Linked DNA regions of Oryctolagus cuniculus. The protein of the gene in region 2 binds, or shares a complex with, the protein of the main gene of each other region. Links are inferred from orthologs where the notes say so. Each region holds a gene or a part of one and is shown on either strand. Other genes may lie near its edges.

Region 1 (3,516 bases), on a different chromosome or scaffold from region 2:
CAGGCCTCCCCCATTGGGCATACACTTTTAAATCATGACCTAACTTTTCAAATACTTAGAAAGCAAGCCCTGTTTCTGTGTCTCCTCATTTAAATATGGTGTATGCTCATCCCACCCTCTGAAAAAAGGACTTACTTTTGCATTCCATTATATAGAATACATTTAAAGGTGTTTTATGAACTGTAAACTTATGAACATACATGATTATTATTGATGAGTTACAATTAATAATTATCCTGCTTATCCAAAATGATAGAAAAATATGTCGTAACTGCAAGTGTGGCCAAGAAGAACATGACGTCCTCTTAAGCAACGAAGAGGACAGAAAAGTGGGGCGACTTTTTGAAGACACCAAGTATACCACTCTGATCGCAAAGCTAAAGACGGATGGAATTCCCATGTATAAACGCAATGTTATGATACTGACCAATCCAGTTGCTGCCAAGAAGAATGTCTCCATCAACACAGTCACCTATGAATGGGCTCCTCCTGTCCAGAACCAGGCATTGGTAAATAACAGGGTGAAGGGGCATCTGTTAATTTATTTTGGGCAATTCCTTTCCATTTATTATCTCTCTAGGGTTCTCATTACTTTGGCATCGAATGCCTTTATAGTGTTTTGAAAGTTAGACTAGATACTGCCTAGAATTTTCCAACTATTTACATATATTTGCCTTCTTTATGAAATAGTCTAACATTATTAATAATGAGATGAAAATAAGATTTTTAAAACATCAATCTGGTAATGCTGTCTTAGTCTAGAGAAAATTCCTTTAAAATGGTAATGGATAGCTAAAGAAGAGAATTTCTGCCCTTGATTAAAATTGTGAAAAGCATCTCACACTATATTTTTTTTACTGTGTGAGCCAAAAAGCATGCAACTTTGTGTCAGGCTCTTCCTGCTATTATGTAAAAACTAGATGAAAACACAGAAAAGTCTTTTAAGGTTAATTAAATCATCAGAGTGAGTCTTTTGGCGCTTTGGTGGTCATATGATGAACACGCTGCTGGTCCACAGGCTGTGGTTACTGTGTTTACTTTGTGTTCTGTTTTCAGTGGCACCTGTGTTCATTTAGCTCAAGTGAATAGTAGTAACCCAAATCATTTTACAGGCTGGAAAAAAAATTAATGTCATGGAGAGAAATGTGTTCTCTTTTACCCAACTAAATCCACTTAGCATAACCGTTTTTGAATGTTACTCCCCTGAGATCTTTGTACTGCCCATTAGATGGAATAAACCCTCTTCTTCCCTAAGTAGCTTCTGCTGTATGCGATACAGTGATGTCCTGTGTGATGACCAAAGCCTTCCCCAGCTGACCTTGGTCTCCTTGTGGTCCAGGCCAGACAGTACATGCAGATGCTGCCCAAGGAGAAACAGCCAGTGGCAGGCTCGGAAGGGGCACAGTACCGAAAGAAGCAGCTGGCAAAGCAGCTCCCTGCGCATGACCAGGACCCTTCCAAGTGCCATGAGTTATCTCCCAAAGAGGTGAAGGAAATGGAGCAGTTTGTGAAGAAATACAAGAGTGAGGCACTGGGCGTAGGAGATGTGAAACTTCCCTATGAGATGGGTGGTCCCAGCCCCGACAAACTCTACATCCCCGCTGGGGACAGAAGCACGCCGGCAGCCTTGGGGCCCATGGAGAGCAAACCTGCCGAGTGCAAAGGAACTCAGTATGTAAGTGGAGTGGCTGGTTTGATGTTTTACAGCTTCTTTCCCTGTCTTTGAACTTTTTGGATGGGGGGCTCTTTTTCTGTTTCCAAAAGGACTAAGAGAAGTAAGTTTATTGACCCTGAGTTAGACTTTTGTCCTAGCGTCATGAGAAAGCCATCGTGTATGACACTTCTGTCTGAAGCCATATTTTCTGAGTATCTTTTGCCAAGGATAGTTGTGAGTTTGATGCATACAGAGTAGTTGGCATTGGCATCCTGCTTGAATACAACATATGAGTCTAGAGTTTGTTTCTAAACACAATTCTGGTGTTAATTGCTCATCACTTCCCATACATAAGAATAATGTGCGCTTAGGTTAATTCAGTTTTGCTTGTGAGTTCATTCCCAAAATTCAGAATTAAATTTTCATGGCTATATTGTCAAGCTTTTTTTTTTTTTTTTTTAGGTCTCCTAGAGAGGGAAATGTAAATCCTTTTTTAGTAGGATGAAAGTAGAAAACAGTTGTGACACAGATGAGCAAAGAACTAAGCTTACTGTAATACCAAGACCCAGCTAGCAGTCTGCCAGTCAGGCTGGGTCCTGAGAAAAATACCAGCAAGCTCTAACGTCATGAATTTTGAGAGCCTGTGTGTAACATCGAGGTGAAAATTATGATGAGTAGCGTCTTACATCAATGACTAATTCAGGAAACACTGCTGTCGTAGCCCAGGGTGAGAGAAGTGGGTGTTAGGCTTGTTAGGTGACCGTGTTGGATGCCTTCCCTCGCAGTTCTGCTATTGCTGCAAGCTGAGCATGAAGGAGGGCGACCCCGCCATCTATGCCGAGAGGGCCGGCTATGATAAACTGTGGCACCCAGCGTGTTTTGTCTGCAGCACCTGCTCGGAACTGCTGGTCGACATGATTTATTTCTGGAAGAATGGAAAGCTGTTCTGTGGCAGACACTACTGTGACAGCGAGAAACCCCGATGTGCCGGCTGTGATGAGGTATGTTCTCAGGGCCACTCGCATGCGGGCTCCCCCGACCTCCATATGGGCCTTTCCCCAAAAAGCAATAGCAACTAACCCAAGCATGAGTTCTTTATTTCTATCCAAAGAAGTTTAATGAAAAAAACTGTATTTCATTCATTTTTAGTGTCTCTGTCAATTGTAGTGACTAAGGAAAACTGGGCACAGAAACTACTGATTTGGATTTAATGCTAAATTTGGTTTAAATTAATTTAACACGCAAGCTTTAGATTATCATGTTGAAGCTTCAAGCCCCAAGAAAGGATATTGATTTACTTTTTCAGCTAAATGCCTGCTTGTGTAAAGAACCTAGCTTTGTCATCCAAAGCAAAAAGGAAAATGCCCAGTTCATCTTCTTTTCCTGCTTCCCCAGCTGATATTCAGCAATGAGTATACCCAGGCAGAAAACCAGAATTGGCATCTGAAACACTTCTGCTGCTTTGACTGTGACAACATCCTGGCTGGCGAAATATACGTGATGGTCAATGACAAGCCTGTGTGCAAGCCCTGCTACGTGAAGAATCACGCTGTGGTGAGAAGCATTCAGGGGGGATACCTTGACCTCAGCCTGCTTTGAGACTCGAATTTGTGCCTCTCTCTAAGCCTCTTAACAAACAGCAAACAGAGAACTCTCTTAAGAAGAGTGTGTGATTCCTACCTTAGGATGCTAAAATCCAGGCAATTCATAAACAATACATAGACTGTCTGCTAACTCAAGAGTTCTGTTACATGTTTACAGTGTAGATGATAAATGCCACAGGGCAATAAAATCCTCAGTTAACAAAAATAATCCTTGATGGGAATGAGATTGATGTCTTCTCATGGGTGCAGACCAGATTT
Region 2 (3,748 bases):
AAGCACATTGGGCCTTCCAAGGCTGTCTAGGCAAACGTGGAGGCTATGAGGGGGCAGCTCTTAGGGTTTTTCCCTGAAGATGGGAGGAGGTCAGCTCCCTTCTGAACACTGAGTATGTGCCGTTGAGTGCAGGTGTGACCAAGGACCATAGTTAGAGACTTTCAGACTCCTGTATAAGAGGTAGATGGGTGCTGGCATTGCAAGCAGCAGCTTAACCTGCTGTGCCAAATGCTAAAACCCAGCACTTGTAACAGAGTTCCCCCAAATGAAAAATAATAGCCCAGTCATTCCTCCCCTTCCCCTGCTAACAAATGGAAAACAAGTCCCTGAGCCCTGTCAACCATGTGCACTGACAAGTTTCTCCCAAGAAAATGAGTGTTTATAAGCAATCCACATGTGCTTGTCTTCATCGATCCTCCTCCCCGCCCCGGCTTTTGTTTTGGCAAATGCATATTGTTAAAACAGAAGCCGCATCCGTGGGATTGTTCTCACCAAGTAGGAAACACATACTGCAGAGGGGAACATGAGGGCTGTTTAATGCTACAGGAAGGAGTGTGCTGGCTCAGCTCCCCGCGTGGAGGGTGGACGCTCACCAGGCCAAGCTGCCGCACGGTCACGGCAGTGGCTCGGCATCATGCGTTCAGAAGCACCTTCTGTAGAGGAAGAAGGGCCCGTGTTCCTCGTACTCAGAGCGATGGACCCACAGGGGTTGGAAGCCCTGCAGCGAGGCCAGGATGGAGCCTCCGGTCCACACCGCAGTGTCCCTCTCCGGCAGCACGTTCACCTGCGGGGTGTCGTTGGGACACATGCTGCTTAGCTCCTTCTGTAGGCGGTTGGGGAAGCCGCTGAGCATCGTGCTGCCTCCGCAGAGCAGGATGTTCCCCATGAGGTCCCGCTTGAGGGCAATGTCGCACTTGTTAAGGCAGGACACAGTCTGCGTGTGAAGGCCCAGCTGCATGGACTTGATCAGAGAGGGCTTGAAGAACATCTCGGCGCAGAGGAACCTTTCCTGGTAGAGGTATATCTCCTTCCCATCGGGCAGAGTATACTGGATCGCGTGCTCCGTGGGAGGGACTTTCTTCTCCTCGATGGGGTCCAGGGCCACGAAGCAGCATTTCTTCTTGATGTCCTCCACAATGCACATCTGCTCCTCGCTGAAGTATTTCCCGGCGTTGTTCAACAGGTTCATCAGGTAGGCGGTCAGGTCAGAGCCTGCGTAGTCCAGCCTTCCGGTGATGCTGGGCAGAGGGTAGCCCTCATAGATGGGGACCACGTAGGACACGCCATGGCCCACCTCCACCACCAGGCCGGAGGTCCGCCCGTAGGAGTACATGGACAGGCGGGACTGGTAGGCGATGTGCATAGCGGGGGTGTTGAAGGTCTCAAACAGCATTTCGGCGTACTTCTCTCTGTTGGTGTGTGGGCTCAGGGGCGGGTCTGAAACCAAGACCGCATGCTCCTCCGGGGCGATCTTCATCTCCTGTCGGAAGAGATGCTCCCAGATGTCCTGCACCGTATCCCAGTCCACGATGATGCCGTGGCGCAGGGGGTTAACCAGCCTGAGGCGAACCTTTGGGTTGATGAGCTCTTGCCCCACGAACGTCTCCTTGCGATTGTCCCCGGTCTTGGCTGTCTCCATGTAGGGCTTGCCCACTGTTGTCGAGATCTTGTGGGTGGGCTTTGGCAGGCCAGCAAAGCCACATTTACAGTAGCCAGTGCCAAGGTCCACGACCACTGCTTTGGTCACCCCTAACTTGGGCCGCCTCTCGGCCACTGTTGATTTTGTAGGCTCTTCTGGCTCCGAAGAGTTACGGCCGACCCACACTGCCCGCCTGGCCGGGCCATCCTTGAGGGAGGCTGTCTGGAGGAGCTGTGTCTGCATGGAGGCCCGGTCACCCACTTTCTTGCCAGGCCCATCACCTATGTTTGCTGCCTGTGGAGCCCACATGCTTTCCAGAGCCATACTACTCTCAGAACGCTCCTCAATCCCGCTGGCTACAAGGCCTGAAAGGCCTAACTCAGAGCAGAGCTTGAGAATTTTCCCAATAATGACATCACTGATTATGATGTAATCCAGTGACCTGAGTCTTTCTAAACACTGAGAATCTTTGTCCCATGTCAGGGTTGAACATTGTTTTCCAAACAGCTCCCTTTTTCTAAAGTTTATAATAACTTTGATGTATTCAGTCAGTATTTATTGAGCCTGCTATGAGTGAGACAGCTGGGAATACAGCAGGAAGGGAGAAAAAAACAAAAATCTTTGTGCTGGTACAGCTTATTTTTGTATTCTAGTCAGAAGGGGTTGGGAGAGACAGGCAATAACCAAAAGAAATAGCTATTAGAAAGTGTTGAGAGTGAAGGACAAAAACTAGGCAGGGTTCTGTGAGATGGTACTGCTTGCAGGAAGACCCGAAGAAAGCAGGGATAATCTATTCAGGTGTGTGTGCAGGGGTCCAGCAGGTGCATAAGACTGGAGGCAGACATGCGACTTGCGGGTTAGAGCAGGGGGTGTCAGATGGCAGCCAAATGCAGTTGGCAGCCCAGGATGGTCTGGGAACTTTAGTTGGAACACAGCCACGCTCATGCATTCGCCCACTGTCCACGGCCGCTGTGGCAGCACGACAGCAGGGCTGAGTCTTTGCAACAGAGATTGTGCTGAAGAAAACTAAGTATTCACCATCTGGCTCTTTACAGAGAAGAGTTTCCAACCTCAAGTTAGAGGATGGGTGGGAAAGCCCAGGGAAGCCAGCAGAGAAGGAGCAAGGAAGGAAGGGAGAAGTGGTTGTGGGAGTGGGGGTGGCTGAGTAGCTCGTGTCAGTCCTTATAGGACATTGCAAGGCATTTGGCCTTGGCCCTGGGTGAGCTTTGATAGTGCCAGAGGATTTTGAGCACAAGAGTGACACCACTTGACTTAGATTTTAGAAGGCTGATTGGCTACTGGGGTGACTGTGCCATGCTCTTCTATCTCACTTAGGACACTAAACACCCTTTAGGACCACCTTAGGAGGAATTGTTTTTAGGGCATCCTTTGTGTGCTTGCTCCTCCTTCATCTGGGTCAGAGGGTGGGCAGTTAGAACCTGCTGAGTCCGGCTGATGAGAATATTGAAGCTTGTGGATGCGTAGCTCACTCAGTGCTGTCCAGCCAGCAATGGCCAAGTTTCCTCGCTCTGGCTTCCTCCCGATGTATGCTGTGGACGCACCTTGAGACCTAACTTGCATCTCTGAGGCTGCTCGGCCACTTTCTTGTACGCCACTTTGAAGCTGGCTGCATTGGTGCTGCTGGCCTGCCACACTAAGGACACCCAGAGCCCTGCCTCATGTCAAGCAGCACCTTGGACATTACCCCTGCTCCCTGCTCTTCTATGTCACGCCAGTAATGGCCTTTCTCTCTCTCTTTTTTTTCTTTCAAAAATTGTATTTATTTGAAAGGCAGACATACAGAGAGAGGAGGAGAAGGGTTTTTCACCTGTTTGTTCACTCCCCAAATGGCTGGAACAGCGAGGGCTGGGCCAGGCTGAACCAGGAGCCAGGAACTTCTTCCGAGTCTCCCATGTGGGTGTAGGGGCCCAAGCCCTTGGGCCATCCTCTGCTGCTTTCCCAGGCACATTAGATGGGAAGTAGAGCAGCCAGGACTCAATCCTGTGCTCATACAGGATGCCAACACTGTACTGCAGCACCGGTCCCAGGGCTTTCTCTCTTAAGGAGGTTCCTGGGGATGCTCTTGGCTCCTTGTAGGGATAAGGAAAG

The links. Proteins that work in one complex are often made in the same cells at the same time.
Region 1: the proteins of ACTL7A (region 2) and TES are in contact, whole or in part, in a crystal structure (PDB 2XQN), measured with the Homo sapiens proteins. The link is inferred for Oryctolagus cuniculus from reciprocal best matches to the Homo sapiens genes ACTL7A and TES. Residues at the interface, in NP_006678.1 of Homo sapiens: Leu28, Gln29, Thr30, Ala31, Ser32, Leu33, Arg34, Asp35, Gly36, Pro37, Ala38, Lys39, Arg40, Ala41, Val42, Trp43, Val44, Arg45, His46; in NP_056456.1 of Homo sapiens: Asn311, Glu312, Tyr313, Thr314, Gln315, Ala316, Glu317, Leu323, Phe326, Leu335, Ala336, Gly337, Glu338, Ile339, Tyr340, Val341, Tyr353, Pro370, Glu371, Val372, Gln373, Arg374, Val375, Thr376, Tyr377, Ala384, Phe389, Leu398, Ile399, Gly400.

Annotation. Positions count from the first base shown.
Region 1 is NC_091434.1:151,686,109-151,689,624, forward strand, and holds part of TES (testin), read left to right. Parts: intron 1-256; coding exon 257-509; intron 510-1,339; coding exon 1,340-1,675; intron 1,676-2,439; coding exon 2,440-2,655; intron 2,656-3,049; coding exon 3,050-3,208; intron 3,209-3,516. UniProt on the Homo sapiens protein: Scaffold protein that may play a role in cell adhesion, cell spreading and in the reorganization of the actin cytoskeleton. Plays a role in the regulation of cell proliferation. May act as a tumor suppressor. Inhibits tumor cell growth.
Region 2 is NC_091432.1:212,560,450-212,564,197, reverse strand, and holds the end of ACTL7A (actin-like protein 7A), read right to left. Parts: 5' UTR 1,964-3,748; coding exon 641-1,963; 3' UTR 511-640; downstream 1-510. UniProt on the Homo sapiens protein: Essential for normal spermatogenesis and male fertility. Required for normal sperm head morphology, acroplaxome formation, acrosome attachment, and acrosome granule stability.